4 linked regions of the Lonchura striata genome follow. The protein of the gene in region 1 interacts with the protein of each later gene in a pairwise test. Links are inferred from orthologs where the notes say so. Each region holds a gene or a part of one and is shown on either strand. Other genes may lie near its edges.

Region 1 (6,950 bases):
GTGTTTCCAGTGCTGCGTAGGAACACAGGCAGGCGCCCGGGATCCGAGGGGTGAGATGCTCCCTGCACGCCACTGGAGCCCCCCGCCCTCGCACAGCACAAGGAGCCTTTCAGAGCCACACAGACACAGCATTCTCCCGCAGCTGACCTCCCTGCCCTGGCATTTTTGGGACCCAGGCTCCACAGCAGCCAGCGATGGCGTTGGAGGCAGCAGCCTGAGGCCGGGGGATGCTCCTGGTCAGAGGGGCTGCCAGGGCTGCCCGTTCGTACCAGATGATGGCACTCATTGGCTGCAACACACTCGCTTTCCAGGCAAAGAACACTGAAAACAAGTGAAAGCAGCAACACAGGCTCCCCAAGGCTTTGTCCCTCTCCAGAAGGGAGCTCAGGGGAGCAGCCACCCTCCCCTTGCAATGAGGGGAGCACCAGCCTCAGAGGGGTTTCGATCAGGTTAAGGTGGGTTTGTTACAGAAGGTGTTTGTAATCAGCAGCAGAACTCCTTCCAGACGAACAAAGTAATCACACTGCTCATCAGCTTCCTTTAGTGAACCAGACAGTTCTGGTTCCAGCATCTCTGATGGGACAGCCTTGGTCTCTCCAGAGACCAGTCTTCAGGATGCTCCAACGCCCTTAAAGCCAGGGGTTGACCCAAGAGCTAAAAGGCTCAAGGCACCCCTCCACACGACAGAAGCCACAGCTGATAGCTCAGGAACCCACAGAGAGCCCAGGTGAGTCGCAGCGTGGGTTTAGAAACACCTATCCATCCCTAGAGGGGACGGAGCAGGAGACAACAAAATCTTGGCTTTAAAAGTAAGTCATTTATCCATCTCACATGGTCCCAGGGCCAATCCCACTCTGCTCACAAACAGGCACACACACCGACACACACCTCAGAGGCCAGCACAGCTCACCCGGTGCACGCTTTGCAAGGCAGGGATTTATCACCCACTGCAGCTCCATTTCTTTTGCAAAGCAGCACTTCCAAAGCAGGCAGGACGTGGGCTGTGCACAGGCACGGCCTCGCAGCCGCCATGGAAGGCTGCACAGGGCACAGACCCAGCTCGGATCGCAGCAGCCGGCACATCCAGGGCTCTGCAGCCACCTGCCTGAACCGAGACAGCTGCTGCTGTCCTTGGCATCAATTCATCCTTCCTGCTTGTAGTGCTATTGCACTTACTGTCTTTTCCCAGGAGTGTCCTCAGGGAACATCCCCTCGGTTCGAGGGTATTCCAGCACTGCTGCCTGGGCCAGCCTCCCTCCTTCCCTCCGTACTGTGGCCAGTTTTACTACCCCTTGTTCAGGGGCACAAGCCAAGCCTCGAGTGTGCTCCTTGATGGCAAAATGCAGCAGAGACAAGCTCAGCACAGAGCCCCTGACACCCGGAGGAGCGGAAGCAGCTCTGCACAGCCCCTCCAGCACAGACTGAGGGTCACTGCCCGCTGCAGCCGGGGTACAGGAGGGAAGGGCACTGCAGAAGGGTCTGAGAGCAACTCGAGCCTACACTCAATGCCCCCCCGGCAGGTCGGTGACATCTCCCATATCTGCCCGACACTGCCCGATGATGCCCCCCTGCCACCCGGGAGCCAGCAGCGCCCTGCGCTCCGCCACGCACCGCTGCCAGCTCCCACCCGGCTGCGGCAGCTCCTCCGGCAGAGCCGGTCTCCTTGAAGCCGCCTTCCGACAACAAAAGCCGAGCCGAAACCTCCGGGCTGGCTGGGGAGACCTGGGCGGCAGCCAGGAAGGGCAGGAGCCATTAACGCCGGCGTGTCCGGACTTGAGGGAATGACGGAGCAAGCAGAGCCATCTGCCCTCGCCGGAAACTCCGCAGACCGCTGGGCAGAGCGGCCCTTCACCGCGCTCCAGCCGTGCTCTAGCCCTCGCCAGCTGCGCGCATCGGGGCAATAAACCTGCGGCTGGGATGTTTTTTTGAGGCAAAATAGAAAAATAAAGCACGAGAACGAGGTGTCACTTGGGCGCGTATTCCAGCAGCCGCACAGATCCTCGGCGCAAGCAAACACACTCGGCTGCCGGCTCAGCGCTGACACCCCAAAGCGCGGGCAGTACCCCGGGAACGTCTCCCGACCCCCGGTGTCCCGGGGGGCAGCGCTGGCAGACCTCCCACACGTGGCCGTGTCTCTCCTCTGCGGCTTCCGAAGCGCCGGTCTCGGAGCCCGCTAGCGATTAAGTTCCATGGCCCTGGAGTTCAGCAGATCCCAGCCGCGCTGGGGGAAGGGGAGCGGGGGGGGCCCGGGAGGATCGGGGCAGCACCGGCCCCGCACCGGCTCTGCGGCAGCGACGACAGCCCGGCACCACAAACCGGCGGAGCTGGAGCGCGGGCACGGGGCTGGGCGGCGAGAGGGATACGACACTGTCCACCGAAAAACCCGTGGCGAGGGGGAAGGCGGGGGCATGACGGGGTGGGCGCGGGATCCCCAAAGCCGCGGGCGGGGAGCCGGGAGCCGGCGAGTTCGTATCCGCTCCGCCCGGAACGCGCCGCCGCTCCCCAGCAGGACGGCCCTGGGCGAACCGGGGCACCGGGAAGGCCGCGGGAAGCGCCGGGCGGGGACAGGCCACCCGGTCTCCCCGCCGAGCGGCGGAAGGTGCCGGAGCGGGCTGGCAGACGCACTCGGCGACGGGGAGAGGCGACCGGGAGCGGGGGGAGCCCGCGGCGGCTCCCGGGAAGGGCGGCAGTCCGCCGCCCAGGCACTCGCTGCAAACCCGCGGGAAGGGCCGCGCCGCGGCCCCGACGACCGGCTCGGTGCTTCCTCCCGCCCCGGTACCTACCAAGTGGATCGCGGCATTCCCTCCCCGACTCGGTGCCGCCTCCCGCCCCGATGCCGGTACCTACCGGCGGCCCGCGGGAGCCCCCCCGGCCCGCCCCGGCGCGCCCGCCCGCCCCGGTGCCGCCGGTACGTACCGGGGGCCCGCGGGAGCCTCCCTGCCGCTGCCCGGGCATCTTGGAGGCGCGGGGACACGGCGGCGGCGGCGGCGCGCGCGGGGCGGGCGGGGCGGGGCCGGTGCGAGCGCGCGGCCCCGCCCCCCGGCCCCGCCCCGCCGCAGGTGAGGCCGCGGCGCCGGGAGCGCGCACGGGCCCGGCGGGAGCGCGCGGGGCGGGGGCACTGCCGTGGGACAGCGTGTGACCCGTGGGGATAGCGTGTGCCCCGGGGGGACTGCCCGTGGGGACAGCGAGTGCCCCGTGGGGACAGCAAGTGCCCTGTAGGGACTGCCCGTGGGGACAGCGTGTGCCCCGTGGGGACACTGCGTGCCCCGTGGGGACTGCCCCTGGGGACAGTGTGTGCCCCGTGGGGACAACATGTGCCCCGTGGGGACAGCGTATGCCCCATGGGGACTGCCCATGGGGAAAACGAGTGCCCCGTGGGGACAGTGCGTGCCCTGTAGGGACTGCCCCTGGGGACAGCGTGTGCCCCGTGGGGACTGCCCGTGGGGACAGCGAGTGCCCCGTGGGGACAGCAAGTGCCCTGTAGGGACTGCCCGTGGGGACAGCGTGTGCCCCGTGGGGACTGCCCGTGGGGACAGTGTGTGACCCGTGGGGACAGCATCTGCCCCATGGGGACACTGCGTGCCCCTCAATGTGTGCCCCATGGGGACAGTGAATGCCCCGTGGGGACAGTGCGTGCCCCTGTGTGGTCGGGGCAGTGCGTGTTCCGTGGGCTGGGGACACTGTGTGCTCCATGGCATCGGGCACTGTGTGTGTGCTCCCTCAGGCGGGGGACAGTGAATGTTCCTGTAGGGTGGGGGACACTCCCACCCTAGCATCGGGGACACTCTGTGCTCCTGCGGGCTTCGGGGCAGCGTGTGTCCCTGGGAGATGTGGGGAACTGCGTGTTCCATGCGATGGATGGCACCGTATGTCCGTGTGTTTATGGTGAGATTTGGTACCTTGACAGCCTTGGGTCTTTCAACACATTTATTTTTTTCAAAGTGAAAAATGAGTTAAATGGGCTTTTCACCACCTGATTCAGCATCACAAAGGGACGTCCCACCCAGCGTTCTCCATACAGCAAACCAGCTCTGGGTGAGGTTGGATTGTTGCGTGCAAAGTGCATATATATATATATATATATGTATCCACAGCAATAACATCAAAGGGAAACATGGGAGGGGGAACCCAGAACTGTAATTTATTCCTTGGTAATATGGGGACATGTGGCACAGGTTATTTATATTTGAAGGCTGCCCTGAGTGTAAAATGAGCCGTCTTTTAAAAATAAACATGAGGGAAAATACACCCAAGCTCCTGGTGTGTCTGAAGGTGAGGCCAAGCTGCTGGCAGGTGCTGGAGGAGGTGCTGTGAGCCGGGAGCAGCAGGAGCCTCCTGCGTGCCCTGAGCGCCTTCATCCCTGCACACACACACAGAGGAATGGTGGTTGTTGGTCCAGGTGGACACTGAGCACACAGCAGCTGTCCTGCGGTGGCTCTCAGTGAGACAGGACAGATACAAGGCCACTGAGCAGCCAAGGCTGCCACCACCACCATGGCTGGCCTGGTTCTCACCTGGTTCACTGTGCAGAGGGATCACAAATGCTTGCTTCCAGCAGGGTCTGACAACAGGGGGGTTAATATGCACCATGTTGTTTGCATTATAAACCCCATCTCTGATTTTCTAGCAGCGAAAGCACAGCACAGGCAGCTGTGGCCAAATCACAGACTCTAGAGCTGTCCTGGGACCAGCCTTTGTCTCTGTACCTGTGCAGAGCAATGTGAGGTGAATGAACAGCCTGACCAGGGCCCCATCCTCTGACCCTTGGACAGGCAGGAAATTAAAGCCACTTTTCCAAATTTAGAGCCACCAGTAGCCCACAGCAGGTAGCCATGGGTGGGTTCAGGCTCTGAGCAGAGCTGGGGCTGTGGCTGAGCAACAGCAGAGATGTGCAGCCCCCAGACATGGCACATTAGGCTGCAGGGAACTGAGACCAGTGAAAACGAGCAGATGGCTGGAGGTCACAACAGCGTCCCACCACCAAGGGTCTCTGGGTGACAACCTGACTGCCCAGCACTCACTGCAGTGCTGGAGTGCAGATACCAGTGGCAGCTCAGCTCTGATCTCCAAGAGCCTCAGCCTTCCTCCCACAGCAGGGACACAAAGCCCAGGTGTGTGGTGGCCAGCTCCACAGTGTGCCCATGTCCCTCTAGCTCCAGTGCCAGCCTCACCGCAGAATGAGCAGGGCCAGGGAGCACAAGGGCCAGGAGCAGCTGCAGGGGTGGCACAGCAGAGATCAGTCTCAGTGTCTCCTCTGCACCCTGGGAGCCAGCTCGTGGGGCTGGAGCAGCTGCTGGGATGCCACAGTGGAGATCAGCCTCTGTGCCTCCCCTGCTCTGCAGGATCTGGCTGTTGCTGGCACTCCCAAGCTGAGGGGCTGTGGTGGATGTGCACAGCTGTGGCTCCAGCTGCTGAACAGACCCAATGCCAAGGCCCAGAGTGGGCTGGCACCCACCAGACCATAGCTCAGAGACACAGTATGTTTAAGTCCCTCAGTTTTCCTCATGGATCACTGCAGATGCCAGCCTCCCTCGAGGCGTGATGGGCACTGGATTAGCTGGGATCCTGCATTAATCGGCAGAGTGGCAGAGGTGACCTTGGGCAAATATTTACAATTACTGTGGTGTCATGTCTGTGCATGTACTCAAAACACAGAAGGGGTAGGGTTCAAATGGCACTTTAATGAGCTGCAGGGCAGCAGGAGGGTAGAGTTCCTCACGCTGATGTGCTGAGCAGTCCAGGGTGGGGAGATCATCTCCATCTGCCCACAAAGGCGTGTCAGTGTCGGAGTGGCGAGTGCTCAGCAGCCCTTCTAGGATCTGTGCATTTTGAACAAGGGACCATCTCGGTTTCTGCATCACACGGCTGTGAGCATGTTGCTTGGAGTCGGGGAATTGGGATTTTCCTGCCCAAGGCTGCTCTGCACTCACATCCACATTGCACAGACAGGAATGGAAACACTCGAGTTGTGCCGTGTGCCTGGGATGCCGATTGACTAAATAACACTAGGTTATAAAGCAGGGTTCCCCCTTGAAAATTTGTGCTTCTAGTGGAAAGCGCAGAGGAAAAAAATCCTTTGAAGTTCTGCATCCCTCTTCCCACTCCTTCTGAAGAGCAGGCAGCCAGTGTGGAGACGAGCAGGGCTTGATGGATGAATTACCCCAGAAGAATTTCTTCTCGATTCTTTCCTACATTTTGATGATTTCATTTCTGCAGCTCTCATTAGCACCTCCTTTATCCCCAGTTCTTCCCCAAAGGCATTCTGCTCTCGCTCCCTCCTGCTGCGGAGGGAGCGGCAGAGCAGGGATAGCAGTGGATGCTGTGCACCACCTCATGTTGAGGCCTGGAATTTCAGAGCCTGAGACGAGCTCCAGCTCTCTCCCATGGCGAGGGAGGTGGAGTACTCATCTGCCCCAGAATTTACTCTGCTGGATAAGAGCGATGCCTCATCTTCACACAAGGGCTCAGTGGCAGTGTTAAGACCTTTGTTAAGGCCCCGTGGTCTGACAGACCTGCCAAAGCCCCAGCAGGCAGATGAGCTTCCCCACAGGCTCTCAGGGCTGATTATTGAAGAGGAAATCTGTTTTCCCAAGTCTGCACTTTTCTGCATTCAGACCAACCCTGTATGCTCCCCCAATCCAGTACAGCTCTTTCAGAAGGCTCACAGGATTTTTGTGTCACCCTGTTTGTGAGCAATCCCCCACTCTGCCTCCCCTCCCCAGGACCCTCAAGAGGGAAAGGAGGCAGGCTTTAACAGGTGAGAACGATCCAGCCAGGTTTTCAGCCATCTCCTGCACATCTCTGTACTGCCAATGCCATTTCCACTCCCTCATGCTGGAGCTCAGCAGCAGATTTGCTCACAAAGTCCTGTTGTGCCAAGGAAAAGGCTCCTGAGTTCCTCAGATCAGGCAGAGGGATGAGATGCTGGCTGTACTTTTCCCTGGCATCCT
Region 2 (7,225 bases), on another chromosome or scaffold:
CCAGCTGGATTCTTCTGAAGGAGGTTGAAACCTCATGCCTAACTCTATTCACTTTGCAGCAGTGACCATACACTGGGAATAAACAGTCAGATTCACTGAGGACCCAAGAGTGTGACAGTGCAAAGCTGCAATAGATAAGGAAGTCCTGTGCAGGTCTGTGCCACTGCACGTTCCACATATATACTTTACTGATTTTGGTATTTTTAAAGGGATCTAGCACAGAATGGTAAAAATACTATTTCCTGCAGGTTCAAATGAATGACCTTTTTTAAGGCACAACAGAAAACACAGCTTCAGATCACCCCTTTATGGTAAGCCCAAGTCAGGCTGCTATCACAGACCATGAGAATGCTAGAACTTTTCAGAGAAAGTTTCCAGACTCTGAGCCAGGCAAACAAAATCCTGTCAAATCTGGTCTCTGCAATTGCTGAATCATGTCAGTTCAAGTTTTCCGTAGAAAACAGGATTTATTATGAATTAAGATATGAACTATGAAAAAAGATTCCAAGTTTAGTTGTTCAGACTGAAGTTACAGGCACAACAAAATAAACATTTCATGAGAGCTGCCAAACCCCACCCGTATTTACAGAGAATCAGGAGTGAAAACAAATCATACTTTCACTTTCCAGCATATTCTGCAAAAATGCCAGACATCTGTGTAAGCTGTACATGAAACAGGATTATCCTCCAAGGCTGACAGAACGTCTGTCCTCTTTTGGAAGTCCTGTCCATTTGTTTACAGCACAATTTCTAAACACCATCAGCTCTTCATGTCACCTGTGACATTCTCCCTCAAACACCTGAGTGATGCAGAGCTCTCAGTAGCATCCCTCACTGTGCAAAACAGTACTGTTGATATAAAACAGCAAAGTCCCATCTCCCAAGGGAGACACTGTCGACATGACAGAGGAGTTACCGGGTTACTGATTGTCTTCTGTGATGTATCCAAGGGCAATTCAAGCATTTCTTTCTGTGGTGTATCCAAGGTCAGTTTACACATTTCCTCCTGTGGTGCACCTAAGGATGTCATCTTCCCACCTCCAGCTCAGGTCTGTCAGTTCTGTGTGGCCACTGCTGGAGAACTCACTGATCAGGCAACACCAAAGGAGTGACCCCTTCGGGGAAAAAAAACAAAAAAACCAAAAAAAACCCCAAAAATTTTAATTAAAGAGAAACAAAACAACACAACATGAATTAAAACCCTCCAAGGTACAGCTACAAATAGCAGAAGAAAGTATGCAAACATCTTTCCAGTACCTCTGCTAGAGTTTTGAAATATGAAATTAAAAGGCTTTCTTAAAGCACTGAGATGCCCCACTGATAAACAATGTCAACAGGAGTGTGCTATCCCCAGATTTACCATGGCAGACAAGCCTTAGCAAGTGACCTTGCCTTTTCCACCTTTATCTTACATAAAGCTAAGAAATATTAGGCAAAGAAGAGAAACAGAGGGTGTTTTACATTTCTTCCTCTAACACATACAATCTCAGAACTCCACAAGTAATAACAGAAATTTATAAAACTATAACAAAATGCACAACATTAATAAGAAATAAAGTTTGTGAGTATACTCAGCTACATTGCAACTTCTTTAGCAAATCCTTTAACAAAGTGTCCAAAATTCAGGGCCAAATTGAAACTACCAAGTATTATTTCTGGCATACACTGGAGAAATAAGGTAGCATATAAACTATGTGGTGATAACAAGCAGACAGGGAAAAAGTCAAAGGTGAAGGCTCTAGCCACATTATTGTGTGAGAACAGAAAGCTATGTTAACGGAGAAGAAAAAAAAAAATAAAACCAAAACAGAAAAAACTCCAAAACAACACAAAATCAAAACTCCAAGGTCTGTGGCCTGTTCCACAGGGGTTAATCTTCTGCAATGATTAATAGAGTGGTCCATTTTGCAACATCTGACTTAGTCTTGTTGAAGATTTGGACCAGATGGGTATTAACTCACCCACTTAAGACCAGTATCTAGAATACAACTCAGAGAACATAAGGTCTCAACACTGCACAACTATTTTGCCCTTTGATCTTCTCAAGGGATATTACCATAAATTCACTTTTGCCTGTGCAGGCATGTTTTATCGATTTCATTTTTAAAAGGAGAAAATAAAGACCAAATCAAACAATAATTTTGCCTTTACGGTTGTACAGTCCAACAGCAGACCCCACAAAAACGAAACTTACAGCTCAGCTGTATCCTGCTATCTGAACTTCCTGTGCCTGCAGCAGGAATCTAGATCCTGCTAGGAGAGGATCCTGGCTCAGGATCTTGGCAGAGCCAAGAGCAGGTGGCACTATGACAAAGTGATGAGTTAGGAGTTTTCTTATCTGCCTATTACTGTTTTACTGGCAAGGTCGCAATAATGAAGGAAAGCTGCAATTCAGGCTCTGTTTGTCCAAAGGACGTGCAACTGCAAAGCTCTCCTGTATCCTCCTGCCACCACCACCAGGGTACGTGTTACACCAAACCTGCAACACGGCAAGTTAAGGTTCCCTGGTGCCCTGCTATCTCACACATTCCCAGGGGCTGGAAATATCTCCCACAGACAAACAGGAAGCCACAGAGACCAAAAATAATAATAAGCGGTTATTAGGCTTCCCACTGTGATACAGAGAAAATGTGTCGCTCATGAGTTACTTTCATGAGGGTAACTCCGGCCAGTCCTTACAATTAAAGCGAGATCTGGCACCAGTGCGAACAAGGATTCTGCACAGAGAATTACCGAGACGCTTTCTGGACATCTTCAACCACTTAAAGTACAAAACACTGGCGGTGTCCCCCGTCCTCCGCTATAAACCCGAGACTCCCGAACACTGGAAGGACACAGGACGAAGCAACCTCGGCCACTTCAGCTTTACGGCGAACCGAGGCAGTCCCTCTGCCCGACACGCACGGTGTCTTACCGCAGGACTCCCCGCGGCGCTCAGCAGCGCCCGCTCCCCCGCGGGACGCGCCCGCCCGGCCCCGCCGCCGCCATCGCCGCCGCGCCCGGCCCCGCCCTCACCGCGGTGACGTCACCGCGGCGCCGCCCGCGCGGGGGCTGGGGCGCGTGCCCCGCGCGGCCTGCCGGCCCGGCGCGCGCAGGCGCCGCCCCCCGCGGGGCCGGGCTGAGGGGGCGCTGTGGCGGGCGGGCTGACACCGCGTGAGGTGCGCTGCGCTCCGTCCCCTGCGGCTGCGCCTTCCTGCGTGTAGTGTGCTTCCGCGGAAGGCCTGTGCCCAGTGCTCTGCCACCCTCTGCATAAGTTCTCCCTGACATTCCTGGGGTTTAGTTTATGGCCATTGCGCCTTACCCTCTCACTGGGCATCAAGAGTTTAGCACCATCCTCTTGAACTCACCTTTGGGATATTTCTATGCATTAATGAGATCCCCTCTCAGCCTTCTCTAGACTAAGCAGGCCCAGCTCTCACAGCCTCACCTCCTAAGAGATACTCCAGACACCAAATCATCTTTGTGGCCTCCACTGGACCCTCTCCAGGAGCTCCTTGTCTGTCTTGTATTGCAGGGCCCAGAACTGGACACAGCACTCCAGATGTGGCGTCTGTAGGGTGGAGCAGAGGGGCAGGGTGACCTTCCTCAGCCTGCTGGCCACACTCTTCCAATGCACCCCAGGACACCTTTGGCCCTCTTGCTGCAAGGGCGCTGCCGGCTCATGGTCAGCTTTCACCCACCAACACTCCCAGGTCCTTCTCCGCCAAGCTGCTCTCCAGTAGATCTGCCCTCAGCCTGTGCTGGTACTTGGGATTATTCCTCCACAGGTGCAGGACCCTGCACGGGCCCTTGTTGAACCTCATTAGGTTTCTCTGTGCTCAACTCTCCAGGCTCTCCAGTGACCCACAATGACTGTGGTCATTTCTGTCCCAAGCCAGCTTCCGTCTGCCTCAAGGCTGTGGTCTATCTTCCTGTCCCCTTGCAAGCCCCACTAAGAGTGATTTTGGTAGGATTGGTAAGGTAAGCAGGAAGGCCAACAAAGCCCCTTGCAGTTTTATAGCTCATTATGTGTAACAACAAACAGTCTGCTCAGAGAAGCACTACAACCTCTGTTAATACACTGGATGGGGAAAAAATGAGCACAAAAATAAAGAGTGCAATATAAAAGGCTCATAAGCTTAAATCACCATCTCCTGTTCGAATAAAGGCATTCAGTATTTCTTTGCCTTGCAAAAAGCAGTGTATATGGTTATAGAGAATTTAGAATGGCATTCAGCCACTTGTCACAAAGACCACTAGAGTATCTTAGCTAGATAATATCCAGTCTTTTATTCCACAATTAACCGACACAGAAGCCCCATCTCAAATCATCTATCTACTTGCTAGAATTCTTCTGATAGTTGTAGGATTGCTGCTTTTATGGGTACCTCAGCTTACCTATATAAAACTGGAAGGATTTGTTCACAGAAAGGTATGATAACACTTCTTTTGAGGAGAACGGTAGAAATGAGGTGCTTGGATAAAAAAGCAGCAAAGCAGATTGCCTGGGGAAAGGTACCTTAGAATCATGAGTGGTTGTGAGAGAGGACTGACAACTACAGTGTATAGTTAGCTGCCAGAAAAAAGCCTGCTATTCAACTGTTCTACATAATTCTACAGCGCTACTTAAAAAGAGAACAAATAAACTACCACTTAGTTTTTCTTTGAATCTATTTTTCCAGGCACTCTAGTTGAAAGAGTAGAGCACTTTAATAAAACCAGACTTACATAAATACATGAAATACACTCAATTGTCAGTATGAGACTGCAACCTCAAAGCAGGTTTGAAAGTTCAGGTCAAACAGGAAAGACAGAAAATATGCTGAAAGGTTGGAATAAAAAAATATGATGCTGAAAGGAATAGCAATAAGCAGAAGTGTTTCTAGAACCACAGAAAATAAAGTTTTACTGCTTTACTACTTCTTGCTCAGGGCTCTTCTACTTTTGGGAAGAAACAATCCAGAGGAAATACAGTGATTTGTATTATGCACCAGTTCCTTACTGAAGCAGAACAGCTGTTTGATTATGTGATTTTAGGCTGAGTCATAGGCAGTTTATGAAATTTGCAGGGAAGCCCCTATTTCAGCACCCAAACCTAATGTAGCATTGACAATGAGTCAGTTGGCTTACAGCTTCAGCATCTTTGTGCTAAAGTGCTGTTGTTTTGTTCATAGACTGTCTTCTGATCCTGCTGATTTCTTGTGACTGCTATTTTTAGCACCATTTACTAATGGCAGTCCTGACAGCAAATAACAAAGTCTTCCCTTATTTCCACAGTCCCAGTCCTAATTCAGGCTTTTTCTTCTAAATTTGATGTGCACTCAGCCATTGCTGGGACTATGTACAATCCTATCAGCAGACTTCCCATGTTCCAGCAGAATTTTGCTTGCTGGAAAAACAGAAATGCTTTGTCAAGACAGATACAGCCAATTTCAGCTGAAGTAAATATAGCAGCTATTCTTGGCCATAATGTAGTATTTCATAGAGGACCCTGTTACCCCTAAGAAATTTTACCTGCCTCTCCTGTCTTTGATGCCAAGCCTGTAACCTGTCTCTCTCAGGGTAGCAAGCCATGGCTGAAAGTCAAGGTGAAAACATACATAGTCATACTTATTTGGCCTGGTATTTTATGCACAGTTCCAATTATACAATTTCCATCAATAATGGAATTCCCTAGACTTGAAACAAATAAGCACTAGTCTCCATTAAGACATTTTCCCATGGAAGTTACTCTTGGCTAATTTTTCTATAGTGCTGTTGTACCTGAATAGCTATTTTCCCCTAGATTACACAGTACTACAGGCCACAGGTGTAAAGCCTCTAGCACATTGGACTGTTCAGCAGACATTTTATGCTTAAGGATGTCCTATGATTTCAAAAGACTGACATTGTTGTGTCTTCTGTAGTTTTAGTGGAGCTGTTTGTGCATTACAGCATTTCTCATGGAAATTATTCCCCTAGTTTCTTTGAAAAGCTTTAGACTCAAGGAGGACATGAGTCCTCTTGGTACACCAACATTAAAATTTCAGCTGACAGCCCAGTTGGCTCAGCTTTTACTTAGCCACGAGTTTATCAGTGGCCTTCCATAACTTTTCCTTGATACGTCACTATTTAGCTTCAGTGATCATTCAGATCTTCCAGTTTTCAGTTTAAAGTTGCAAATCACAGGAAACAAAAAGTCATGGTTTTTAAAATGAGCTTACAGATCCAAAAGCTTAAAATTATACAGCTGCTTCAGGAACTAACAAGTATTCTATTTTTTGTTGCAATGCCTACTTTTTAAAGCAAAATGTTTAAGAGAAGCATAAGAGCAAACAAGGTACAGAATAGATATGCAGGCCAAAGGACAAAAAAGGTACCAAGAAGTCATTAGACCTTCTGAAAACCAATTCTAGGCCATATAACTCTTAAAACATACTCACCCCTCCTTTCTTAAATCAGTGACATGACACTCTAGGTTTCTTGAAGTAGTCAGGATCACTCCTTCATTTGTGTTGCAGTAGACAGGAGAGTGAACCTGTGCCTGTGCTTGCCCTGTCTGCACACCCCAGCATACCCCCACCCCCAGGCAGTTATGCCACGATCTGCACATAGTGATTCAATCCCTGCCTACCTAGGAGATAAAAGCCAGGAAACACTGTATGATGTTCTCCAAACTTGGGGACTGTTATCCAAACCCAAGATCCCTAGAACTCTACCTTCACGCCTTCATCATTTTCCTTGCAGTTGCTCCTGGATATCCCTGGTGAGTCTCTGCAGTTACAGATGAGCTCACCTGCCCTCAGCTCTGCTGCATTTTCAAGGGAGACATGCGAGGGCTGTAGTATCACCTCTCACCACGAGATGGTAGGTGTTTCCTGATGGTTAGAGAGGATCAGGCTTTTAGCAGACCTTTGAGATAGTGAACTTCTCAGCTTCTGAGAAAGAGGCATAAGCAAATAAGGACCAAAAAAACACCCACTGTTCACAGGATTGTGAATGAAGTAGGGGAAGCTCATGTATATTGGCTGCAAAGACAAAAATAAATTCTCAGCTTAGATTCAAGATATTTTTACTACTGTAAGGATTTGCACAGCCCTTTATTATCCTGGTTCTTTCTGTTAAGAAACTTTTATGTTATGTAAATTTTTTTAATGTCATCAACAACATGAAACTTGAGTTATTTTTTGAAGCAAAAAACATTCCCAAATTAAATATTGGGTCATTTTGAAACAAACTTATTATCAAAAAAGAATAAGCAATTTCA
Region 3 (7,388 bases), on another chromosome or scaffold:
GCTGCTGCTCTTTCCCAATATATTTGTGTTGGTGTGCGGACACCCAGCACACTGGGAGGAATGACGCACTACTCTGCAAGGTCATAGGCACTGTGCTATAAATACATGCAAAACACCCCATGAGCAAGAATCTACCAAGAACCTATGATACATATTGGGGGGTTTACCTCAAAAACTACTCATCAAACATTTTCAAATGCAAACGTTTAAACTGTTTTCACTTGGTTAAACTATTACAATTGAAATATCTTTAAAACATTTTTTAAATTATCTATTGAGGTCAAAGTGGCTTTAGGAACTTGCTTTTATTAATAAAAGCAAAAATTAGAAAGAAGAGGACTAATTTGTTGACACTGTCTTTATAATAACCCTTACAAAAAAAGTCATTTATTCTAAATGGGAAAACACATGTATTCTCTCAGGTAAAAAAAGTATATGTTATTATTCATATATAGACATATAGCCTACAATGAGAAAACTCATTATCCCAAACATAATTCAAATCAACAGGAATTTATAATTAATTCTATAGATTGTAATACAAGCAATATTATTTATTAATAATATCATTATTAATGCTATTTATTAATAGCAAATAAGAAAGCTGCACACTTAGCATTCCACCATATATCACAGGAATTTTTATCCGGGGGAAAAAACCCCAAAACATAACAAAGGCAGACTTAGAGGGATGCCATGCTGACACAGGCTGCTGCCAAGCCTGCAGCCTACACCAGCCATATAATGCACTCTACCAACCTGCTCCAGACACAAAGCTGCAAAACCACCAGGAGCACCAGTCACTCATGCCTAAATATTTGCTGACGGCCCCAACAGGCAAGAGGGCACTAACTCAAAGGAAGAAATAGCAATCAGACCACAGGGAAAAATCTAATATTTGATTTCATCACTGATTTATGCTGGAAGCAAATCTGAAAGATAAATAAAGTACATTTTGCAGTTCTCCATATTGAGGCAGCTGGGGTGGGCAGGAATAAAAAGAAATATATGAGTACAGTCTCAGAGTTCTAGTCTAGGATGGACCATTCCAGAAGAGAGAGAATGAGGGGAGCCCCAGTTCACAGGAGAACTTCTGGGTTTGAAGTTGCCCCTCCTGCCCTAGGCTCTATATCATTTAATAACTTTAGACAGCATAATTGTACATATTGGTGTGGACTTCAGATTCCAAAACAGGGAGATAACGTAACACAAGTGTTGATGCTATTCTGAATGGGATTGCACATTTTTATGTTACTAACCTTTGGAAGCACTGCTGAAAGTTCTGTGTGGTGATAATATTTAATTTAATAGTTTGCTCTATCTGCCATCTTCACTGCAGGGATTTGAACAATATTATTCTTGGTCATTAATCAACCGAAAACCATTTCATGCCTGACAATAGTCCTTAGCACCCAAAACAGAACACTTGCACTGGATTATTTCTCCAACAAATGTGGATCCAAAGATTACAATGAAAATTTTCACTTATGAGTACAGACACAAGAACTAAGATTTGCCACTCTTAAATTCATGAAATACAGAATACTCCTCTCAGATCTATGCTTCTGAAAAGGAAAATTTACAAAAGCAGCTTTTAAAAATTTTCTTAAAATAATATTCTATTTTATTTTATTTTGCTTAACTTGCTGGAAAACTTTTACTGCACCTTGTGTGTATACAATTGGTTTCACAGCTATTAAACCTTTCAAACCTATGGTTTATTAATCAAAGCAGCAAGGATCACGGCATTTGAACTTGCATTTGCTGTATGAAGATGGACATTTTCTGCCAGAACTTTTTGCCCTAGTTATAAAAAAAAAAAACTAGTCACAAAGTTTCTAAACCACACTAATAGTTGAACATGCCACTAACTTCAAATGCATAAAAACTTAAAAGGGAGTCATCCAGTCCTGTATTCTGACCTCACCCCAAAATTTAGGCGAGAGATCACCATCTGTTTGTTTTTGGAATAGATTCTGATATCTTGAACCTGACAAAAACAAGTCTTCCCTTAGCAGTCTGTTGCAGTAACTCATCATTCTCACTGGTAACAGACTCACTTCTCATATGAACAGTTAACAGGGAAAATGCCAGATTAAAGTTTTCAACTCAGTATTCAAGTTTGGGGTGGTTGTTTGTTTCACTGGCTTTGGTTTTTAAAGAAAAGCTGTCAAGCTTTCCACTTAGACCACATGAAACCATCAGCTTTGAGAAAAACTGCACACACAGCCTAAACTGGGTAAAATAAGTTACACTGTATTAATCACACTGCACAGTACTGAGAAGTTAGACAAAATAAACAGAGACTCTTTCAGCTCCAATAACTCAAACCCAGAATGTGTTTCTATATATATGATAACATATAATGGGTTTTATATTATACATATTTATGCATATAATGTATAAATTATTATACCTATAGTACTTTCATATATTGTTATTATGTTTCCCTGGATTCCCCTATATTCAACCTGTTAAAGTTCAGGCAGAAAAAGCACAGTAGTGACAATCAGGCAGCTATCTCCATGCACAGCTCTCTATTCATTTGTGATTAAAAGAAATAGCTGAATTTCCTTTTCCTATTCTTCAGTTAAAAGTAATATCTTTAGCCAGTGCTGTTGGACCCGTTGATACAAGAACTCCAAGACCTGAGCAAAAACCAGAGGTGAGCAAGACAATCGCAATGCAAGTAACTATAATTAGACTGTAAGAGTGGAAGAGTACAAAGTAACATTTATTTTTGTTAGCATTAGGTCAGTAAATGTATTCCTCTATTGGCTAGGCTGCATATGAGCTATGAAAAAAAAATAATTTGGATCATATTGATGCCAGTGGAGAAACTATTTACCAATAAACAACAAGAAGGGCATTCTGATGGGCTCTGCCTTAACAACAAGCTCATATGGCTTTTAAAAGCTCCAAAACTTCCCATTTATATTTTCAATTGGCAACACTAATATCAGTACCCAAATCCTTCCTGCTTTTCGTTTAAAGTTAACCGGGTAATACCACAGCACTTATACAGACTGAAACTAGAGTGTTAAAGTTGTCATTTTAGTGCTTCCTTGGGGATGCCCCAACTTTCCAGCCATTCATTGCCAAGTCCTCTCTGGTGGATTCCACTGAAAGACTTCGTGCTTTTTCACAGAATAGTTAGGGTTGGAAGGGACCTCTGGAGATCATCCAGTCCAACCTCACTGCCAAGGCAGGGTCACCTAGAGCAGGTGACACAGGAACGCATCCAAGTGTTTTTCAAGTGTCTTCAGTAAGATATTCCACCCCCTCCCCCCGCCGCCTTTCAACAACGCTTTTCCAAATGTTTCTCTGGGGAGAGAGCCGTAGGGGTGGGGAGCACTTAGCAAGTATTAATTGCAGGAATAAACCTGACAGGGTGGATCAGCCGCCCCCCTCGTCGCACAGGTGTAACCCGAAGGCGCCCTGCGCGGGACGGGGCCGGGAGAGCCCCCGCCCGGTCCCAAAGCCGAAGGGGTGGTCAGCCGCGCTCACCTGCACCCCGCCGAGGATCGCCTCGCTCTTCTCCCTCACGTCGGGGAAGGGGCACCTCTTGGACAGCATGAGCAGGCGGGCCAGCGCCTCGCCCAGCCCGTCGCGGGCGGCCGCCCCGGAGGCGATGCTCTCTGCGCGGCGGAGCACGGCTTGCCCGATGGTGTCCAGGGCGGCACCGCGGGCGGCGGCGTCCCGGCTGCACAGCCCGTCCCAGCGCACCTCGCCCTCCCGCTCCTCCATGGGGCCGCTCGGCCGCTGCTCCCCCGCCGCAGCCGCCGCCTCCTCCCGCTCAGCAGCCCCGGCGCGGCCGCCCCATGGCGGGCTCCCGGCAGCCGCCAGCCCGCCCACACAGACGACGACGAGCGCGGCCGCGGCGAGCGCAGAGCCCGCTGCCCGCGCCGCATGGGGGGCAGCGCGGGCCGGTGCCCCCGACAGCCGCCGCCGCCCTCCCGCGCCGGGGCTGCCGAGCCAGCGGAGCCGCTGGGGCTTCGCCTTTCCCGACCGGGAGAGGGGCGGCCACCACCCCACGGCGCCGGCGGCTCCTCCTCCCTGCCCCGGGCATGGAGGGAAGGGGCGGCCCCAGCCCTGCCTCTCTCGGGGCGGCCCCTCAGCCCGCCCCGCCGGGGCCGCCACCGACCCCCGGCAGTCCCCTCGCTCGGGGTTGGGGGAGAGAGCCCCGCCCAGCACGGGGAACCCGCATGACGGACACGCCGCTCAGCCAATCGCCTTTCAGCGTCGCGGCCGGGGGGCCCAATTGCGGCGGGGAGCGGCCGTTCCAGGGGGCTGCTGGGATATGTAGTCCGGCCAAAGGGCCGTCCTGTGGCCCTCGCGCGGGAAGACCACGTGTCCCGGCAGGCAGCGCGGCGCGCGGCCGGGATCCCGCCGGAGGTGGCTCGCTCGCTGGGATGCACGCACGGTATTCCCGCCGTCCTGTTTGGTGCGGGCCTGGGGGGTTCTGCGGTCTATCGCAGCAGGCTATGGAGCGCCGATGGCTGGCGGCAGCCGGGGGTGAAGCAGTCCTGGGATGTGTCCTAAGCGAGCGCGTCAGCGGGAGCGGAAGGACCGTCGGTGCTAGCGAAACGCATCCCGTCACACTTGGGATGGAGGAGAGATGGGAGGGGCGGGGAAATCCCCGTAATATTCACATTGAGCCACAGTTCAGCGGTGTTTTTATCCAGATTAATCCCAGGGGATTTTTTTAAATCCCAGTTGTGCAGGATCTGATGAACCTGGAGAAGAGAAGGCTCGGGGGGAATCTTGGCCGCGCATATATCCGGACATTTATTTGTGCCTAGAAGGAAGGTGCAGTGAGGATGGAGCCAGGATGTTCTCGGTGGTGCTCAGTGCCGGTATCAGAGGCGAAGGACTCAAACTGAAACACAGGAGCTTCCCTCTGAACATCAGGAAGCACGTTTTTTACTGTGGGGGTGACCAAGCGCTGGCACGGGTTGCCCAGGGAGGTTGTGGACTTGCTATCCTTGGGGATGCTCAAAAGCTGCCTGGACACGGGGCAACCTGGGTAGCTGTCTCCGGGTGGTCCTGCTTGAGGAGGGGGGGGTTTGGACCAGAGGATCTCCAGAAGTCCCTGCCAAACTCAGCCGTTCTGTGATTAAGTGTAATTTGCCACTAAAGAGGCTGGTATTGCTGCTTGCCTTGCTTTTCCTGCAGAGGCAAAAAAAAAAGAAAAAAGCTGCTGTTGATAAATTTATATTTTCAGCTAAGTCAGTTCCTTGATCCAGTTCACCTCTTGGCAGTGAAGAGGAGAAGAAAACAAGTGCAGAACTGTTTGCAGCTGTCACATTGAAGCACTAAAATTTTGAGTGTACAGAAAGGCAAAAGAATACTTGGGAGTAAATTAGAAACAGGACATTGGGCCTACATAGGGGCTTGCATAATTATTTTTAACTTCTCATGTACACATTTCCCACTCTAAAATTCGGATGTCAAAACTGAAGTTAAATGCAGAATGAGATTCTCTTATGCCACAGAAAGACACAGAAACCACTTCTGAGTCTAGGAACAGAGCCTGGGCAGGTTCACCAACACCATTCATCTTCAGCTTTCTTCTTTGTACAGAATCTGATTTCTTTATCCGCCATCACTTTTTCTTCTGGAACAGTTTCTTTAAAACGTGCATTTACCTGTACCTTTGAAGGAAGACTGGTCTTTTTTTTTCCCATAAAATCCTTTCTGCAAGGAGGCTGCATTGCCATTGTTCAGGAGGGTGGACAGGCCTGGACTGCTTCATGCAGCTGCTTCCTCCAGGCCTTTGGCACCCTCGTGAACAATGCATCTGCTGAAATCAGCACTACCTGTAATAAATATGAGTCTTGACTTCTCTAAGCACTTGAGGCCTCCACCCACCATAACTGATGGGTTCAAAGAAAATCGTTCTTCCAGTGCTTTTTATGTTGTTGAAGGGATTTTTTTTGTTTGTTTCTTCTGTTTTTTACATTAGCTACCAGTTCAGCTTCCCATCCCATTCTGTTGTCACTCATTATGGTCTCCCATTTTCCCATGAATGGGCATGTCACATCTGTTTGCTTTATTTCTATCTATATTTTGATCTCCAGAAGTTGGCTAGATCTTATTTTTCCCATCATGAGTTGTTGGGTGCCTCTGACAATGACAACATACATCCAAGATCAGAAGAGTGAACCAGATTCAGAGCTGGAGCTTTGGTGTTTTAGACTTTGGTACAGCTGTATTCACACACTGAATGCCAAGATTGATTGAAAGTCACAGCACTGCCTTTTATCTTTTAGAAGCTGTTTTTTCCACTGGCTCCAAATGAACTCTGGCTACAGGAAACAGATTGTGAAACTGGCTCCAAGGCCTAAACTTCAGATTTCAGCCCTTTGTTTTATAGATTTTAATGTAGACTTAGGGAATAGCAATGAGGATGGCTTTATTTTTTTTCCAAACCAAATCTCTGCAGTTTTCTGATACCAGGTCAGGCTTCTTTATGCACTGCAAGACATTGTGGAAATCAAGGTCAGAGGCTACCAGTGGAATTAATCAGAGCCCAAAGTTAGGGCAATGTGTTTGTTTGATTTGTGTGTTCACTGACTGCAGTTAATATGCTTGTTTTTGATCCCTAAAGAACGGATAAGAGAGAGGCAGAATTATGAAGGAAACAATCTGGCAACTCATCCAGAATTGCAGCAGTTGAGTTTTCAAAATGATAAGCTGAAGAAAAACAAATTTGTGGCTGTTTTAAATCTCAGTATTTCCTTCCTTCATGATTTATCAACTTCCTTTTTTTTTTTTTTTAAACTAGATAAGGACTTCTATAGCCTTCTTTAGACTTCTATAGCAGATGACATCCAACAGCAGAATTATTTTTGAAAATACAATGTCTAGTAATAGTATTCATGTTCTTTCTAAGATACAAGATCTAAAATACATTATATTTAGTTTTAAAAGTTCATTCCAGTTTCTGTATGTCACAAAAGAGCACTTTTCTCAAGCATGCATTTAGTCAAATACTGGAGAACTAATAATAACACAGTAAAACTTGTGCAGTCTAGAAGGAACTGCTTTTTAAATTAAATTCCTTCAACTGTTTTCCTTTACACTTGATTTTCTTAAGGCTTACTTCATTCCAATTGCTAAATACCTAAATAATTGGATGAGTCTTCAAAAAGTTCACCCACCCTTTTTAGATCTGTGTTTTGGCATGTTGCCACAATAAATGGTACTCCAGATTTAAATGCATTTTCCTTCACAACTACCCTCTGAGAAAACAAAGTTCTGTGACTCCTGTTTTGCAAAGAGACACCAAAAGGCCGGAGGCTGCTCCTCTACTGCCTTTGAACCCAAGCACCAAGTTTGGTGTCAAGTCCAAGCCATTTTGTCTAGGAGATGTGGCCTTTTTTTGC
Region 4 (7,298 bases), on another chromosome or scaffold:
CCCTGAAAGCAGCAGTGACTACATCCTTGGAGACACAGCAGATTTCTTGGCAGCACAACCCTTCCACATCAACACCTTGCACACAGTATAACCCAGGATTTGGTGCTCCAACTTCACCTTCTGCACAGTCTGATCTTTGGGATTAAAAAACACTTTGCAATCCTAAACTTTGCAATCATAAGCAAATCAAGGGGGGAAAGAAGGGGGAAGCATCTTCTGGAGGAGCACATACTGTGCAAATAACATGAAACAAGGTTTTTACTCAAAATTTTATATATTTTATTCAGTCCATACATACTTCTAATGGCAAATATTTTGGATGTAACTTTCTCTATATATTATTTTAAATTATTTAATTCTTGTAAATCATGAGGACCTTCAGTTGTTTTCTCTCTCAAAAGGAAAGCAGGAGTCAGCCCTGTGATGCCAGTGGTAACACCAATGTTGGACTAGCTATGAAAGCTAAAGCAGACTCCTGTGCAGCATCATCACAGGTAGGAATGAGGCAGTTTCCAACTGGTATTTTGGAATGAAACAGCATAAGAATCTGAATTGCTCTCTTTCAGTGGCTTTCAGTCATTGTTGGAGAGTATCTTACTCATCTTATTTTGCTTTCTTCTTTTCTTAAAAGAGGTGCTTGAGTTCAATCAGTTTTTATAATCAGACCCAAACACTTGTTACTTCTGGTTTCCATTAAATGGCCTCTCTCTTTTTCTGTGCCAATTACTACAGGCAGAGCTGACTGCAGGCAAACACCAACACCCCAGGACATAATTACCTACCTCCCAGCACCTCACAGTCGCTGTCAATGCTGTCGTGCACGCCTGCAAAGATGTTGGCTAGCGAGGACTTCCCCACGCCGTGCTCCCCGATCAGCACCACGCGGTAGCAGCTGCTGCCAGACTCGGAGGAGATGACAGAGTCGGATGACTCCGAGGACCAGCTCCTTCTGTAATATTCATCAGGACTGATGGTGTATCGTTTCTGTGGGTTGTACTCATTGGAGTCCTTCTGGACCAGCAGATTCTTTCCATCAGCAGGGATGCTCCATCGCTGCTGCTGCTGGTGCGGGCTGCTGTTGTGTGTGCGACGCATGGTAACATTGTTGAGAGTCATTTTTAACCCCTAGTGAAAAATAGGGAAATCACAAATGTTACCCACGAAACATTTAGAAATGCTCTCTTACTAGCTTCAAGGGGCCACATCATGCTCCTCTGTAAGGACCTAATATGTGAGAAAAGAAAAATTAGCCTTTCTGCACTCTAGCGTACTTGGTGGTGCACAAAGCAGTATTTTATTTATTAGCTAGTGAGACAGAGACTGTTTCCCAGGGATAATACCACCCTCACATGCTAAATCCTATCTTGTTCAGCCTTTACTAGCTCACGGCTGTGCTGGGTGCAGCCCAGTCCTGGAAAGAGGGAGGCATTGCTGCGTCCCAGGAGGAGAAGGAGGGGACAGTGCTCGCCACACCGGTCCTACACAGCAGCTGCAGCCCTGCCGAGAGACTGCCTGTGGTACAGGCAATGTTCACCTCCTTTTGGCATCACTGGGGACAGACAGAGACACTGGTCCCAGTTGCCTCCAGCTGCCGGAGCAGCTGGGTGTACAGCATCTTTCTCATTGACTCAGTTAAGAGCTGAAACTCTTGGGAAAGCAATAAGTCATAATTCACTGCACTCTTGAGACAACCCTGGTACAAAAAGTCATGCAAGCAAGTCTTGCTGTGATGGGGTGGATTTGGGTCTTGTCTGTGGCCAGGTAAACAAAGAATGATTCGGCCTCAGACAGTGACTTTTTGGCTGGTAAGAGGGAGGACATAGTGAAATCCAACAGCTTTTCTGAGGAGGTACAAGTTATAGCTTCTACAAGAGATAGAACTGAGATAAAAGGCTCATTAATTTATAGATATTAAATCAATTACTTAATTTCTGCACAATTAATTAGATAGGTTCATTTTTCTAAAATAAGCATAGCTCTTAATTACATTTTACTCAGCAAACTCTATTTTGCCTTGCTTGGAGGCAGGGAAGAGTGATGTCATTCTCACAGGCCAATACCTACCATTTTTAGGAAAGTTACTTTGATGCACTCCAGTTTCCAAAGTGACCATTATTCAGACATTTTTCTTTTTTGCCCTATATCTGATGTTTCTTGACTCTCTCCTCCATATCAGTAAATAGGATAATTGTCCATAAAATTCACCCAACTACTTTCAAAGCTCAATAATAAATGGTGAACAGTAAAAAGTACAGTAAAGCAACATGTACAAATTGCTATTCTTCTTCATAAAAAACTGTCTGAAAACTTCTGTGACTAAATTCCCAGCAGGACCAAGGACAAAATATATAGAAAAAGCACTATCTGAATTTACTACAGAATACACAATATTTTCTGTGTGATGTGCAGTACTTTGGGGCAAAAGGAGATCGTTTTCATGGTCCTAGTCACAATAACTTTGTCAGCAAGAGATACATCTGAAGAAGAAATCACGTACTAAGCAAAGACTTCTTCGCAAACAAACTTAAATATTTGCTGTGGTTGAATTCTGAAATGCACTTTTCCCTTCAGTATCCCCATTGAAAAGATCAGATGAGAAAATCCAGATCGCATTCAAACAACAGAGTAACTCACAACCTGCAACAAGCTGTCACTCACAAAAACATCACAAACACAAATATTTTACAATTTAGCCTCTCACAAATTGTCATCCCTCATTAAAAAAAGCCAAAGGAGTCCCTGTCACACACTGTGCTCCAAGTTCAAACTGGTTTTGCTACCCCATACTGCATTTAGCTGCCTGGGTCTGCAGCAGCTCCAGGAAAAGACTGGGTCCAAATCCACTCTTACTTGTGCCAGGCTCCCGCAGCCAGTCCAGTCCTTTGTTCCCCCTGCCCTTCTCCCTCGGTGGGCTGTGACACACTGAGCAGCTCTGCTGAAGTAAATCCTCTCCTGCTTTGGGTCTGCCTCTTTAATTCTTTCTCAGCAAACCTGGTTTATATTAAGCCCATCTGATCAGAGACAGGGCTTTTCCGTGACGTGGCCAGCCTTCCCATACAACAGCCAGCCCCCAGCTGGGGGAAAGCAGACGTGCAGCAGAGAAAAACTTGCAAACAATCTCAAAAGACTTACTCAAAATCATGTGATTGTTTCAATATTGCCAGTAAAATAAACACTTTTGGTTCTTGCGTGATGAAAACAGGAAAGTGGAACAAAAATAAATAATGGATGTTATTTAGCCTCAGAGAGTTTTAAATTCAAATGTTATCAAAATTAATGATGATTTAAAAATCACCTAAGTTTATTTAATGCATTAAATTCTGTAAATGTATTATGTATCTGTTCTCTGTCGGCAAAACACACTTAACCCCCTGCTGGACAAAACATTTCTCTGGAATAAAATATCTGAATGTTATTTTGAAATATTTTAGAAGTAGGAATATTAATTCTAGGGGCTTAGTTGGGGTTTTGTTTGTTTCTTTGTTTCTAAAGCACCAGTATTTACAAATATGTTATTCTCTGTCAGGCTCCAAGTGACTGTACCCAGTCTTCTGATCTGTATAAGCATCTCTTTCTCACTTCTGCTTCAATATTTTACTACCAAGGGCTTGAAAAGACATCCAACTATGAATTCAGTGTTGCTGCAACTGGATGTTGGCAAAAATGCATCAGAACACACAAAGTCTGCACAAAGTCACACAGTGTTGACACTGTGCACAGGAACAATCACTATATAGTGTACATGCCACAAACTCAGGGTCTGGTCCTTAAATTTTTATAGCCTCATAGCTGATTGGCAGAAGAAATTTTGCCAGAAGGCAAGAAATCCAAACCTGTTGAAACTTGCAACAACATACTTCTTCATTAGCAAAGGAAGAGTAAGAAACCGTGACAGAACTACTTACTAGGGCTACCACAACTTTTATGTAAGTATAAACAAACCCTGTAGTCAGCTGCCAGTTATCCAGACTCTGGATTAAATATAATGAGGTCCTACTGCTTTCTTTTATATTTACATGTTTACATTTTATATTTACATTTATATTTACAATCTCCTGGTCCCTGAATCAAACAGAAAAGTTCTTATCCTAGAAGTCTGAACAACTTTGGCTTCAAACAGGGGAATAATTCTTTTTTCCATGCTACAGGTAAGCAAATCTTTAACTGACAATGTACCTTTATTGAAGGGAACACTGATGTGCAGAAAACATCTCTTGTTAACACTGCAATTGAAATCTCTTTGCCTTATTTTCCCATTGGCTTTTTTGCATTCCTGTATCTTTCATGAGGGTTCTCAGGGACCTCCTGAGCCATTCTCAAGTTTTAAAGGCCAAGAGCTTTTCACGAAGCAATAGGTACTCATCAGTATACATGAAAATTATGCAGATCTACCAAGGGTAGGATTGGGCAAAAATATGCCCTGACTTTCTTTCACATGTATTTCAGTGCTTGGCAGCAGCTCAACTGGCCCCAGGTCCTGCATCTTCACCCCACCTGTCTCTTACTCATCAGGGCCTCTGCTGCTCAGCGATAATCCCAAAGAGCACAAAGTGCCACATCCCTCTGTGTAGGTTGTACAGAGGGGCTTGTAATACTTCCTGCACAAAATGTAACTAGATCTCTATCCAGGAAGGTTTGTGACATGGACAGTACTTTGCAAAAATCCTTTTCTGTTGGCATACCCAACTGAAGTTGCTCGTTTTTTTGAAACATGCTGGAAACCATGAAGGTGAGTGGGTGGTTGGAGCAGTATGAACCTCAGGTTTGCATAGCTCTCTGTAAGTTGTCTGTAATTTTTCACTGCTGAGTAAAAAAGCAAAACCTGTCCACTGCAGGACTGGAGAGATTTATGGCCAGTGATTGCAGCAAAACTGCAGGCTCTAATGTCTCACCCAAATGTTTAACATATATCACAGCAGAAAGTGCAGACAGAAGAAATAAACCAAAGGCAGAAAAGCCTTTGTGTTTAGTTGTAGTTACTGTTAGATTAGGAATTGCTAGACATCATCTTTCATATCCTCTTCATAAAATTCAAGACAGACAAAGAAAACATGTCTCTCCAGAACTACACAATATATCTCTTCCCTAAAGCCATACAGAAGAGTTGTCCCAACATGGCATGAAGTGCTTGTACTTGGGGAACTTGCACATATGTGTTTTTCTTTGTACTGTCTCTTCTGAGCCTACTCTGGTTTTCCAGTGCACAATTAACTCTCCAGGTCCCATTCTGCATACACCTCCACAGGATGTGACGTTGTTGCTCCTCAGGGAATGCCATCAGCACTCATGAGCTTCACTCACTCTATCTGTGGGTGAAACATATTCTTAACTGTTTTTAAAGCTGGGGAGAGATGCAGCCTTTTTAGCCTCTGGGTACTTACAAGGGATAACAGCAGGCTGATTACTGAAATATATTAACTGAGTCCTTCATAGGGACAAAAACAATCCCATGGACTGAGACTGGTGCAGTCTTGGTCTGTTCAGCCCTTTTGCACTCGTTGCAGGTCAACATTTCTGCAAGTCTCATGCCTGCCCAAGGCACGGGCATGAGAAGAGACAAACCATAAGGCCAGTGCTGTCGCAAAGCACACGAGTGCTTGAACGTAACTGCCCGCTGCCATATCAGAAGTCAGAGGCATTGTTTTTCTTCCATCTTATCCACTCTCTGTTTCATTAATCACATCTTAAAGGAATTCTCCCTGCAGCCAGGATGAAGTAAACATTGCAGAGTAGCAGTTCTGCAATCCTTCCCCAGACAATTACAATTAGACCAGGTGATGCCCAGAGCAATTAGGCAGAAATTTTCCATTGGATATAACAGCAGTGCTTTTTAGCTGACACTTAATTAGCCAGTTTGAATTTATGTATATGATGGTAAAAGTAGTTCCTCAAATCTTCTGGTGTAAGTGTTGTCCACAGAGAAAACATAAATCATCTTGGAGTAGGAGGGGAATTCCAGGGAGGAAAAAGAAAAGCATGAAAAACAAAATTCAGATTTATTTTAATGAAAAGTGAATGCAGCATGTTTGAAAGTGTGTTTTCTCCCTATACATCCAGCAGAGAAGCTCACCTGTATCATTCTCCTCAGAAAGCCTGGCTTTGTTGACTTTGTTTCCAACAGTGAGTTGCCTGCACAGGCAATGAATGAGGTCTGCCTCTCCTCCAAACCATTGTGGCATTTCAGACCTTTCTGTGCTTCTCACATCTTGCAGTGCTGGCAGACCCTGGCTATTCTCAGCCCTACCAACAACAGCAGCTATGGACAGAAATTAATTTGGGTGCTGGGCTGGATAGTGCTGGACATGCTGGGAGTGCCCACAGTCACTGCATGCCCTCCCTAGGGAAGCTGCTCCATTGTCACCATCCATTCCTACTGCACAGGCAGCCACAGGCAGCTGGGCGAGCAAATGTAGAACAAAAGGCAAAAATAGATGTGGGATGAAGCAGCATTGAGCCCACAGCAATGGAACTGTTGGATTACTTACACCAACTTATGTCCACAGCTTTGCCTTTGCTGATCCCAATTCACATCTGATGACTCAGTGTCAAGTTTCACACTGGCTGAAAAGGTGCAAGGGTTCAAACACTCTGAGACTGGGATGTATGAGGTAGGGAAATGAAGGATTATGTGCCTGAGGTAAATTACTGAGGGTGTTAAGAGGGGGACAGGGCAGAGAAAGACACTGAGTAATTAAGAAATAATAAAACATTGATTCATTTTAAGGGGCACAGTCAGAAGCACCTGAAAGTGCCAGCATCAAATTTTAAAAATAGACATTGCTCTTTTCAGTGGTGTAGATTTGGTCGACGTGGTTCCTAGAGTTGCTTACAGGGAGTACTAAATTTGTTCCACCAGCTCCTTTCCTTCCACATCACAGCAGCATTTTTACAAATCTTTAACTGAGCACTAAAATCAGAACATGACCCTTTGGTGATGAGCACAAGGATAGGGAAGAAGCACTGATCTACACAAGTTAGCTGTAAAAGCCAGCATTAGAGCTCTCAGGGAACAGGATTGCCTTTAATCAGCTGACCCATTGGAGAACTTCTTATGAGTCTATTAATTGCAGATAATCTGGATTCTAATGTACCAAAAGGAATGTGTATTCTATATCTGTGCACTGCAGAGCTTTGTTGACTATAACCGGTGTCAAAAGGTATTTTCCCCATTAATGCATTAAGCCAGCACAGTGGAAGACTCAGCAGAAAATGAGAAATGAGCAGCCACAGGAAGCAATGCAGTTCAGTTCATAATAAAATACAAGTTACTTTTTAGTCTAGTTACTGGAAAAGAAATT

Evidence for each region.
Region 2: the proteins of MID2 (region 1) and LGALS8 interact in binary tests that used the Homo sapiens proteins (3 or more experiments, as listed by UniProt). The two-hybrid records come from large-scale screens. The link is inferred for Lonchura striata from reciprocal best matches to the Homo sapiens genes MID2 and LGALS8.
Region 3: the proteins of MID2 (region 1) and CEP57L1 interact in binary tests that used the Homo sapiens proteins (3 or more experiments, as listed by UniProt). The two-hybrid records come from large-scale screens. The link is inferred for Lonchura striata from reciprocal best matches to the Homo sapiens genes MID2 and CEP57L1.
Region 4: the proteins of MID2 (region 1) and GEM interact in binary tests that used the Homo sapiens proteins (3 or more experiments, as listed by UniProt). The link is inferred for Lonchura striata from reciprocal best matches to the Homo sapiens genes MID2 and GEM.

What each region holds. Positions count from the first base shown.
Region 1 is NC_134616.1:15,076,455-15,083,404, reverse strand, and holds the start of MID2 (putative E3 ubiquitin-protein ligase MID2), read right to left. Parts: upstream 3,002-6,950; 5' UTR 2,917-3,001; intron 1-2,916. UniProt on the Homo sapiens protein: E3 ubiquitin ligase that plays a role in microtubule stabilization. Mediates the 'Lys-48'-linked polyubiquitination of LRRK2 to drive its localization to microtubules and its proteasomal degradation in neurons.
Region 2 is NC_134605.1:45,720,267-45,727,491, reverse strand, and holds the start of LGALS8 (galectin-8), read right to left. Parts: upstream 3,006-7,225; 5' UTR 2,915-3,005; intron 2,755-2,914; exon of another isoform or gene 2,734-2,754; intron 1,116-2,733; 5' UTR 1,031-1,115; coding exon 917-1,030; intron 1-916.
Region 3 is NC_134605.1:69,473,750-69,481,137, reverse strand, and holds the start of CEP57L1 (centrosomal protein CEP57L1), read left to right. Parts: upstream 1-4,374; 5' UTR 4,375-4,444; intron 4,445-7,388. Other genes in the region: SESN1 (sestrin-1), read right to left, coding at 3,508-3,747. UniProt on the Homo sapiens protein: Centrosomal protein which may be required for microtubule attachment to centrosomes.
Region 4 is NC_134603.1:24,313,828-24,321,125, reverse strand, and holds the start of GEM (GTP-binding protein GEM), read right to left. Parts: upstream 3,012-7,298; 5' UTR 2,851-3,011; intron 1,126-2,850; 5' UTR 1,117-1,125; coding exon 783-1,116; intron 1-782. UniProt on the Homo sapiens protein: Could be a regulatory protein, possibly participating in receptor-mediated signal transduction at the plasma membrane. Has guanine nucleotide-binding activity but undetectable intrinsic GTPase activity.